Linked DNA regions of Macaca fascicularis. The protein of the gene in region 2 purifies or fractionates together with the protein of the main gene of each other region. This does not show direct contact. Links are inferred from orthologs where the notes say so. Each region holds a gene or a part of one and is shown on either strand. Other genes may lie near its edges.

Region 1 (3,500 bases), on a different chromosome or scaffold from region 2:
TGTTTGAAAAAGAGAGACCTGGAGTTCTTTTTTACCCTGTTGAAGAAATAAAAGTGTTTAGCCATTACTTTTTTAAAAACACATGAAAAATTAATCAAATCATCTCTTACAGGAAAAGCATTTTTCAATTAGTAGATTTAGAAACATGATTAGCATTATCCAGCAAAGCCACTTGACGTAGTAATACAGTATTTCAGTGTGGGGTTTAGGTGTGACCCTACCTAAAACAGGGGGAAGGATTAGCTGACCTTTTAACAGTTTTTTTTAAGCCTTATAAATAGAATAAAGTAATGAAAATTAATCAGCCTTATGTGTCATTCTAGATCTTCATCACAAGCAGCAAGAAATCACTATTTCAAATGTATTTTTTATTTGTTTGGCTCAGATTAGTCATGAAAAGCTAAAGTTTTTTGAGATTAGATATTGCACACTGTTCCCCTTAACTCCCACTCTATTCGTAGCTCCCAGCAACAAAATTTCTGTCAAGAAGTGGCAGTGTTAGGCTGGGTGTAGTTGCTCATGCCTGTAATCCCAGCACTTTAGGAAGCGGAGGCAGGAAGATAGCTTGAGCCCATAAGTTTGAGGTTACAGTGAACTGTGATTGTGCCACTGTACTCCTGCCTGGGTGACAAGAGTGGGACCCTGTCTCTAAAAGTAAATAAATAAATAAAAATAGGAAGTGGCAGTGTAAAGTTTTCATCTACAGGTGAGGAAAGAGTAGGGGAAAAGTTCATTGCTTTTCGTTTTGCAAAAGGGCCAAATCAATTGTGGAAAGACCACACAGCTAAAATTACTTAAAAATACATAAAGCTATGACAAGCTCTCACTGTCGTCATGCGGATATCTAGGATACAATTATAAAACAATAGCTTAAACTGGCCAAACGCGGTGGCTCATGCCTATAATCCCAGCACTTTGGGAGGCTGAGGCAGGTGGATCACAAGGTCAAGAGATAGAGACCATCCTGGCCAACATGGTGAAACCCCGTCTCTACTAAAAATATAAAAAAATTAGCTGGGCATGGTGGCGCACGCCTGTAGTCCCAGCCACTCGGGAGGCTGAGGCAGGAGAATCACTTGAACCTGGGAGGCGGAGGTTGCGGTGAGCCAAGATAGCGCCACTGCACTCCACCCTGAGACAGAGTGAGACTCTGTCTGAAAAAAAAAAAAACACAAAACAATAGCCTAACCTTTTAGTTAAGAAAGATGACCTAAATATTAAAGACAAAGATGAAAACTAAAAGTTTTGGGAACATCCACTTACCTCTTTAAATTCTGCTTTAAGCACACAGTGTCCTAGGGTTGACTGCCACTGAAGTTTCCTGCCACTATGTTTGCCTAGGTAAAATGTCTTGAAAATCTCCTGAAGTTTTACCATCTAAAGTAAATAAAATAAGGCTTTATTTAAGCTCTATACCCAATACTACATTTACCACTTTTTATACTTACCTCATGTGATATAATTTCTGGAAAATTTTAAGACTGTATCCAGTAGGTCCACCAATCACTTTGATGAAAAATAATGATCTCCCAACCACCAAATCAAATGGGATTTATTAGGATTTATACCCTTTGCTCTATCTGAACCATTTAATCATCCACTCTTTTGAAACACTGACCTGCAGCAGCTTTTGTGCCTCTATACTATGCTGGTTCCTTTATCTCACTGTTGCTTCTGCACTGGTTTCCTTCACAGGTTCCTCTTTCTACCATCTGCCAAATGTGAGCCTTTTCTAAAGTTCTGCCTCTGCTGTTTTTTCTTCCTCTTTGAGACAGATCTACTCCCTGGGCCTTCATAACCATCTCCATGGAGGATTCTCAATATCTAGCTGTCTAGCCTTAATCCCTTTTATGGACTTCAGTCCTGGGCTAGACAGTTTCCCAGGAGTCAGGATAGATTTAATCAAGCACCCATCATTTAGCAATCCCACCTATGGGTGAAATATGTGCAAGAATTCTTAATAACTAGGTAGAATGAGGGGTATAATCTGTGAAGATGGAAGAAGAGCCAGGGAAATTGATCCTGAACCCAGAACTTTGGCATTATTAGCTAGGCTCTTAACTGGACTTAGAAGTACAAAAGTAAAATATTAAAGCAGTTGGTATTTGGTGTTGGTGTGTTTACTGACATTCACTTTTAAAAGTATCTATGCCAGGCCTGGTGACTCACACCTGTAATCCCAGTACTTTGGAAGGTTGAGGCAGGGGGGATCACTTGAGCCCAAGAGTTCAAGACCAGCCTGAGCAATACAGTGAGGCCCTGGGTCTCTATTTTTTTCTAAGTATCTATTTTTAAATGATAAGCAAAATGGAAATGTTATGATTTCTATGCCTATAACTCAGGTTCTAAACAGTAACTCTTACCTCTGGTGGTAAATGAACTTCCATAGGCACATATGTTGGCCAATAGCCCATTGTCAGGATATTCACAGTTAATTCAATATTTCCCGGAACATTCTGATTCTGCATATACTGTAAGATCAAAACACACACTGAGATCTTAAAACTGCATACATTTCGTATCATAATAACCTATTTAAGAAGTTCCCCGTTATGAAATTATATGCAAACACTGACCATCCTTAAAATAAAAGGCAATTATTAAGAGGACTTTAAATGAAGCCTACACAAAATGCATTAGGCAAGTACAGAGGTTAACATTTTGATACAAAGGCATACAAGGATCACATGACCTCATTACAGGCATTATCAACTTAAATAATTTCTCACATACAGCTGGGCTGTTATAGGATCTCTCCTCCACTCTTTTCCCCAATACCACCTGCAGTCCCCACCTTTGAATACCCCTACATGGCTTAAACATCTTGCAGCAATCCCCATTCCTCACCCCACCAGCCAGCCCAAGTCTCCAGTTTTTCGCTTGCTCCACTGCCTGTCTGCAGGGAGTGGCCTGGAGTAGGGAAGGAAAAAGAGGGGAAAAGGGCAAAGCAGATAAGCCCCATTCGGTAGCTACTATAGAATTCATAATCTTACTGACCCTGATTTTTTCTTAATTCTTTCACTTCCACTTCCCACCTTAGCAACATTGTGGGGTAAAGAAGTCACTACTAAAACCCCAAAAGAGGAAAATCTAACTTGCCATCACTATCACCTATGTTCTTAAACATTTCAAAACTACTTTCTACCTACATCTTCAAAACTGTGGATCTAGCTTTCTATCCCCAGTGTCCCCAAAGGCTTTATCCAGCTACATTATCACTTCTCCTCTCTCCCCACTGCAAGCTCTGAACATGCAAATCACCAAATGATAAGATGCTGGGGAAAGCCCTGTTCCCACTATAGCTCTTCTTGTACTGACTTCAGTTCAATACATTTTATTTTTATTTTTGTGTTACTCTGGGTGTTTGTTAAAAATAAATCCTAAAGTAGGTCAAATATACTTATATTTCACCAATGGTTTTTTTTCTACTGTGAATATCACCTCAGTTACCATGAAGTAATTACAACAAACACGTTTCTATTTATCCTCTTCAGTACAAA
Region 2 (3,500 bases):
GGCCAGGAGGTACAACGGTGGTCCCCAAGTGCGAAGCCAGGAAGGCAAGGTGGTCTCCAGTGGCCTGTGCAGGTCATGAAGATCTCCATCTCGAATTCCTGAGCCTTGGAGTCCATCAAAAGCATGTAACCAGGTCGGGCGTGGTGGCTCAAGTCTGTAATCCCAGCACTTTGGGAGGCCAAGGTGGGCAGATCATGAGGTCAGGAGTTTGAGATCAGCCTGACCAACATGGTGAAACCCCGTCTCTACTAAAAATACAAAAATTATCCGGGTGCCTGCAATCTCAGCTACTCAGGAGGCTGAGGCAGGAGAATCGCTTGAACCTGAGAGATGGAGGTTGCAGTGAGCCGAGATTGCACCATTGCACTCCGGCCTGGGCAACACAGCAAGACTTCGTTGCAAAAAAAAAAAAAAAAAAAAAAAAAAAAAGGTACACAACCAAAGAATCCTTTTCACTTTTGTTCACATCAGATTAGGCTCATATGGGCAACAAAGCAGTCCCCAGGCAGGGCCAACAAATCACTTGGTCTTCAGTGAACTTCCCCTGCCTGGGGTCTCGGTATGAGGACCTCTTCAGCAGAACCCTTTCACCTGGCAGGTCTCTGGGCCACGAGACCCTGTGGCCTGAGAAAGTTCATGATCCCCTACCTTTCCAGCCATGTCTGATGCCATCAGGTATTGCTCATCTTGGAGGATCCGCACAGAGGTCACTGCTGAGTCATGAAACAGGCGGGTGGCCTTCCATCCCTTGCCTTGATTTCCACAACGCAGATCAATGGCAAAGATTTCCCCAGAGCGGCAGCCATTAAACAGCAGAGGAACCTGTGGAAAGAGGGCCTGCTCGGTCCTGGCTACCATGACCTCCCTCTGAGGCTGGGCGGGGCAGGTCCTCCTGCTATAACCCCTCTTCCAGCCTCTGGGTTGGATGGTGTGATCAGACACGTGCTGGTCAGGGTTTGGGTCTCAATGGAGTTGGAAGGGAGGATGATTCCTTGTTAGTGGCTAGAAGAACCAGACCCCACGTGTCCTCCTCATGGGCAGCATAGAGGTCCTAGGAGCTGCCTGCTCCCCGCCCCCCCACGCACTGCCGCCTTTGGCCTTTCTCTCTGAAGTCCCAGAGATAGCACCCCATCTCTACCAAAGGCGGGTCAGCAGGTTCATTCACTTTTAAGGAAAGATGGTATTTTCTAGAGAAAAGTCCTTAAAATATAGTTATGACCACTTTTTTTTGAGACAGAGCCTTGCCCTGTCGCCCAGGCTAGAGTGCAGTGGTGCCATCTCGGCTCACTGCAACCTCCGCCTCCCGGGTTCAGGTGATTCTCCTGCCTCAGCCTCCTGAGCAGCTGGGATTACAGGCGCCTGGCACCACACCCAGCTAATTTTTGTATTTTTAGTAGAGAAGAGGTTTCACTATCTTGGCTAGGCTGGTTTCAAACTCCTGACCTCGTGATCTACCCATCTCGGCCTCCCAAAGTGCTGGGATTACAGCCATGAGCCACTGCACCTGGCCTGATTTTTTTTTTTTTTTAAACTGACTTGAATTTATCAAGCTTAAATTCTTTTTTTTTTTTGAGATGGAGTCTCACTCTGTTGCCCAGGCTGGAGTGCAGTGGTGCGATATCGGCTCACTGCAAGCTCTGCCTCCCAGGTTCACGCCATTCTCCTGTCTCAGCCTGCCGTGTAGGTGGGACTACAGGCGCCCGCCACCACACCTGGCTAATTTTTGTATTTTTAGTAGAGATGGAGTTTCACTGTGTTAGCCAGGATGGTCTCGATCTCCTGACCTCGTGATCCATCCGTCTCGGCCTCCCAAAGTGCTGGGATTACAGGCGTGAGCCACCGTGCCCGGCCCTGATTTTTTAAATATATAAAACATATAACCTGAGAGCTGTGAAGAATTGGTGTTTAGCTTATACATTTTAAAGATGGTTTGTCCTGCTGGGTAACTCCAAGTACCCAAGAACTGCTCACAATTCCTTTCCATGAGAGGTTGTTTAGAGCAACTCAGGCAAGCCTTTCTGGATCAACCAACTTTCACTCAGTTCAGACACGCTTACAAAGGAACCCACTGAGCCTTTCTGATGCTCTTTCTCCCCTGTCAAAGACGACTAGATGGCACACAGAGGAGTCCAATTTCAATCTGGCCAAATTTCTGCACGGGGCAAACTTTATATTCTGCCTGTCCCAATCCAACTAACCATGAGAGCAAACTGCTGGGCCAAGACATCACTGTTGGTCCCAAAGGACTGCCGGTGTCCCGTCACCACGTTGGTCAACAGGACCCGCCGAGACAAGCCTGGCGGAGACAGAGATAGGCTGGTGAGATTATGTCACATGTAGTCTGGGGAGAGGGACAGCTACAGGGGTTTTAAGGTCTGTTAAGGCCTCTTCTCTGGGCACCTGGGGAGCCAGGCTCACCTGTACTGAAGCAGTTATTTGCTTGGATATTCAGGGACCAGGCACAGGACCAGGCACCAGGGATCCGGAAACTGCAGAGCATGCCAGGCCGGTCTATTCCTGCTAAGGGGATAGGAGAATGTAAATTGTGGCTGCCCTCTAGCCAGGCCAGGGACCACTGGGTTCAGAAAACATCTAAATATGCCCATAGCTGCTCAGAGGGTCTATACCTTTGGCCCCATTCTGGGTTTTGTGGTTGCAAGAGAGAGGCTCAGCTGGGATGCCTGGCTCACAAGTGGTTATTCTGAAAATGCATGTATGTTAACATTCCCAGTAGTCACGTTTATAGTACTGATATCAAGGAGGTAGTGTACTGTCAGAGGTAAGGTGGCTCCGATCCTCGATCACCTACCAGCTATGTGATCTCAGGCAAGTGTGTGTGTATATACATACGCACACACAGACACACACACACACACATAAAGATATATATAGATATACGTATTTTTAAGACAGGGTCTTGTTCTTTTGCCCAGTCTGGAGTGCAGTGGCATGATCATGGCTCAATGCATCCTCAACTTCCCAGGCTCAAGAAATCCTCCCATCTCAGCCTCCCAAGTAGCTGGGACCACAGGTGTGAGTCACCACACATGGCTTATTATTTATTTTTTGTAGAGATTGGAGTCTTGCTATGTTGCTCAGGCTGGTCTCGAACTCCTGGGCTCAAATGATTATCCTGCCTTGGCCTCCCAAAGTGTTGGGATTACAGGCATGAGTCACCATGCTTTGATAAAATATTTTTTAAAATAAACTTTTGCATTGATAGAACGTACACATTGGAAGGATACAGTTCAGGGAGTTATTACAAACTAAATATAGCCACGTACCCGCCAATCAGGTTGAGAAACAGAACAATCCAGGCCGGGCGCGGTGGCTCACGCCTGTAATCCCAGCACTTTGGCAGGCCAAGGCGGGTGGATCACCTGAGGTCAGGAGTTCGAGACCAGCCTCACCAACATGGAGAAATCCCATCTCTACTAAAAGTACAAAAATAGCCAGGTGTGGTAGAACATGCCTGTAATCCCATCTACTCGGGAGGCTGA
Region 3 (3,500 bases), on a different chromosome or scaffold from region 2:
CACTAGCTCTACCTTCTAAAAACCCACTGAGTAGATGGCAGTGAAATAAGGCTAACCCAAAATGACCTCCAATCCCAGGATACACTTCAGGGACCCTTTTCTCCTCTTTTCCCTATAAACCAAACCAGTTCTTAAAATAGATACCAACATGTAAGTGTGTATAGAAGTCAATGTAGTTCTCCCTTCCTTTCTGCCCCTAATTATTGCATTACAATTCAAATTTCTTTTCTTTCTTTCTTTTTTTGAGACAGAGGTTCACTCTTGTTGGCCAGGCTGGAGTGAAATGGCGCCATCTTGGCTCACTGCAATCTCCACCTCCTGGGTTGAGGCGATGCTCCTGCCACGGCCTCCCGAGTAGCTGGGATTACAGGCGCCCGCCACCACGCCTGGCTAATTTTTGTATTTTTAGTAGAGACGGGCTTTTACCATGTTGGCCAGGCTGGTCTTGAACTCCTGACCTCAGGTGATCTGCCCGCCTTGGCCTCCCAAAGTGCTGGGATTACAGGTGTGAGCCACTGTGCCCAGCCTAAAATTCAAATTTCTGTGAAAGTAAATGTTGTTAATCTATGCAACTTTGTATAGCCTATATATCTGAAGGTCCACATAATTATTTCATAAGTTATTAGAGAACATATCCCAAATTTGTTCCTAATAAAATCTTTGGTAGTAAAATTTGGGATACTAAATTACTGTTTTAGAAGCACAATTTGAGAGAGAGACAATCACTTCCGTAATATCTTAGGATTTAAAGCTTTATTGAATATTAAAATATTATAAATTTAAGAAATCCTAATTTTGGCTGGGCGCGGTGGTTCGTGCCTGTAATCCCAGCACTTTGGGAGGCCCAGGTGGGTGGATCACCTGAGGTCAGGAGTTCAAGACCAGCCTGGCCAACATGGTGAAACCCCATCTCTACAAAAAATACAAAAAAATTAGCCAAGCATGATGGTGGGTGCCTATATTCCCAGTTACCTAGGAGGCTGAGGCAGGAGAATTGCTTGCATCCAGTAGGCGGAGGTTGCAGTGAGCCAAGATCACACCATTGTACCACTGTACTCCAGCCTGGGTGACAGAGCAAGACTCTGTCTCAAAAAAAAGAAATCCTAGTTACTTACACACACACACACACACACACACACACACACACACACTTTAAAGATCCACTGAAGGGCTGGTTTTGTTACACTTTCTAGTTGAACTTAGAAAAGGTGACTGGGAGTGTTCCATAACACTGCTTAGATCTTTGATTTAAGCCTTTTAATGTTCTTACCTGATGTATCCTAAATTTTTCAAAGTTAAAACTTGTGTCTGACAGCTCCTAAAGTTTCCAAGAAGTTAATATTCAGGTACCGTTCTAAGTCGTAACTAAGTTGAGCCATAAGGAATCTGAATCCTACTATTGTTTGCAAATTTTGAAAGAAAAAGAGTTAGGGGCAACAAGAATCTTACAGATTTACTCTTACCTGTCTCTCGTAGCTTTGGCAAGTTTGTCTTCTGATTTTCTGTCATGCGTTTCCAAACCCAGCATGAAACTCCCTCGTCCCAGCTGGGCTTCTGACTGCTCTAACTTTTCAGACAAATCAAAGACCTGACCAGTGGTATAGTCTGCATTCTGTGGGGAAAATGGTATTGTGTCACTACAAAACATAAGTCTACCATTTAAAAAATCTATTTTAATGTAAACTAATTTCCTACAAAGAATATTTCATTTGCAAAGAATTCCACTATAAAATCTGAGTGAATAGTCAGTGAGAAGAGAAATCAAATTACATTTGCAAATCTGCTTCCAAATTCAGGTAGTTCAAGAGTAGATAGATGTTTTCCCTTTTATAATTTCAAGATTACTTGGAATTTTTCTCCTTGACTGCTTAAATCTAATATTTGTTATTATGGGAGGCTGTCAAGTATACAGACCTAAGTCCAAGTTCTGGAAGTATGGCAGATTAGTTGAAGGCCTGAAGTATGCCTCCAGGTTCTCTTCTGAAAATGGTAAGGGAGTCGATAATTCCTACCTTAGAGCTACAGTGAAAATTAAATGAAGTAATGCATATAAAGTTTTTGGCACTGTCCATGACACCTAGTAAAGGCTTAGTAATATTAGCTAATTTTGCTATTATTTTTGTTGAACTTTTAGAATTAGTACTTATGACAATATTGATAAAAATAACATTTTAAAAGCTTTTCTGGGTCGGGCGCGGTGGCTCATGCCTATAATCCGCATTTTGAGAGGCTGAGGCAGGTGGATCACCTGAGGTCAGGAGTTTGAGACCAGCCTGGCCAACAAGATGAAACCCCATCTCTACTAAAAATACAAAAAAAAATAGCTGGGCGTGGTGGCAGGAGCCTGTAATCCCAGCTACTTGGGAGGCTGAGGCAGGAGAATCACTTGAACCCAGGAGGCGGAGGTTGCAGTGAGCCGAAATCGTGCCATTGTACTCTAGCCTGGGCAACAAGAGCAAAACTCTGTCTTTAAAAAACAAACAAACAAACAAACAAAAAATCTTTTCTGGTTACAAAATTAATAATTATACAAAAAAATTTGGAAAATGTAGAGCAATATAAAGAAGAAAACAAACACATTTATAATCTCTTCATTTAGCTTTAACCACAATTACAGAGCATTGCTATATGCTTACATGTATACCTACATTTGAAAAACTATAATATTACATATTTTACCAATATTTTTATGGGGTATACTTTTTTAATTGTAGTCTAAAACACACAAAAAAATTTCACAAAGTTATTAAGTATACATTATATTTCTTTCCTAGATCTTCAATAGAAGAGTGTGAAGAGGAAATAAACTAGTTGGCAAAAAGTAGCATGTCATTCTATTTGCTCAGCTTGCAAGGAAAGACAGTCAGTCACCAAACAAGAAAAGTTATTTGCTGCCATACCAGTTCTTCCAGTGACTTTTACAAACTTAGTATTTTTAAAAGATGCAAGTATATTCATTTTGTCTGGATCTAAATGGTTTAGGAAACCAGTATGTTTTTCCTCCCGCAGACTTGGAAAAAACCCTAAAGTTTATAGAGCTATTTAAGCCATAAAAATATAGGCTACCAGAAATAGTTATACTATTAAAATGACAATAAAAGATATCCAATTACATTTCAAATGTACACAAAATGAATATAGTAAACTAATTTCTTAAATTAGAAAATAACTTAGGTTACATGCTATAATGAACTTCCTTAGCTGGGGGAAGAGAGAAGTTGAACATATGTCTACATATTTGTTCTTAAAATGCTGCAATGTACTATACATAAAACAAAAAAAAGGCAGAAATGTAATTTAACCTTTTCTTGATTATTAATGTCCTCATCTATGCAGTGCTGGAATACAGGGACAGACATTGGGCTGAGTAGGTAGATCTGCTTGCCTTATACAAAGGTTCAGACTGCTCTGGTCTTACAGTGTTTTCTCCCCTTGCCATCAGGTGTCACTTCTGGCTGCTATTAGTATACTTGCCTCTAAGGAAACAACACATATAAAGC

Evidence for each region. Proteins that work in one complex are often made in the same cells at the same time.
Region 1: the proteins of DCAF4 (region 2) and CUL4B purify together in Homo sapiens (affinity purification with mass spectrometry; 9 studies listed by BioGRID and IntAct, counting the BioPlex papers as one, with this or other methods). This does not show direct contact. The link is inferred for Macaca fascicularis from reciprocal best matches to the Homo sapiens genes DCAF4 and CUL4B.
Region 3: the proteins of DCAF4 (region 2) and COPS5 purify together in Homo sapiens (affinity purification with mass spectrometry; 4 studies listed by BioGRID and IntAct, counting the BioPlex papers as one, with this or other methods). This does not show direct contact. The link is inferred for Macaca fascicularis from reciprocal best matches to the Homo sapiens genes DCAF4 and COPS5.

What each region holds. Positions count from the first base shown.
Region 1 is NC_088395.1:126,811,059-126,814,558, forward strand, and holds part of CUL4B (cullin-4B), read right to left. Parts: intron 2,472-3,500; coding exon 2,364-2,471; intron 1,378-2,363; coding exon 1,264-1,377; intron 37-1,263; coding exon 1-36.
Region 2 is NC_088381.1:140,826,759-140,830,258, reverse strand, and holds part of DCAF4 (DDB1- and CUL4-associated factor 4), read right to left. Parts: exon of another isoform or gene 2,628-3,500; intron 2,521-2,627; coding exon 2,419-2,520; intron 2,297-2,418; coding exon 2,199-2,296; intron 823-2,198; coding exon 649-822; intron 1-648. UniProt on the Homo sapiens protein: May function as a substrate receptor for CUL4-DDB1 E3 ubiquitin-protein ligase complex.
Region 3 is NC_088382.1:77,031,989-77,035,488, forward strand, and holds part of COPS5 (COP9 signalosome complex subunit 5), read right to left. Parts: intron 3,477-3,500; exon of another isoform or gene 3,303-3,476; intron 1,613-3,302; coding exon 1,464-1,612; intron 1-1,463. UniProt on the Homo sapiens protein: Probable protease subunit of the COP9 signalosome complex (CSN), a complex involved in various cellular and developmental processes.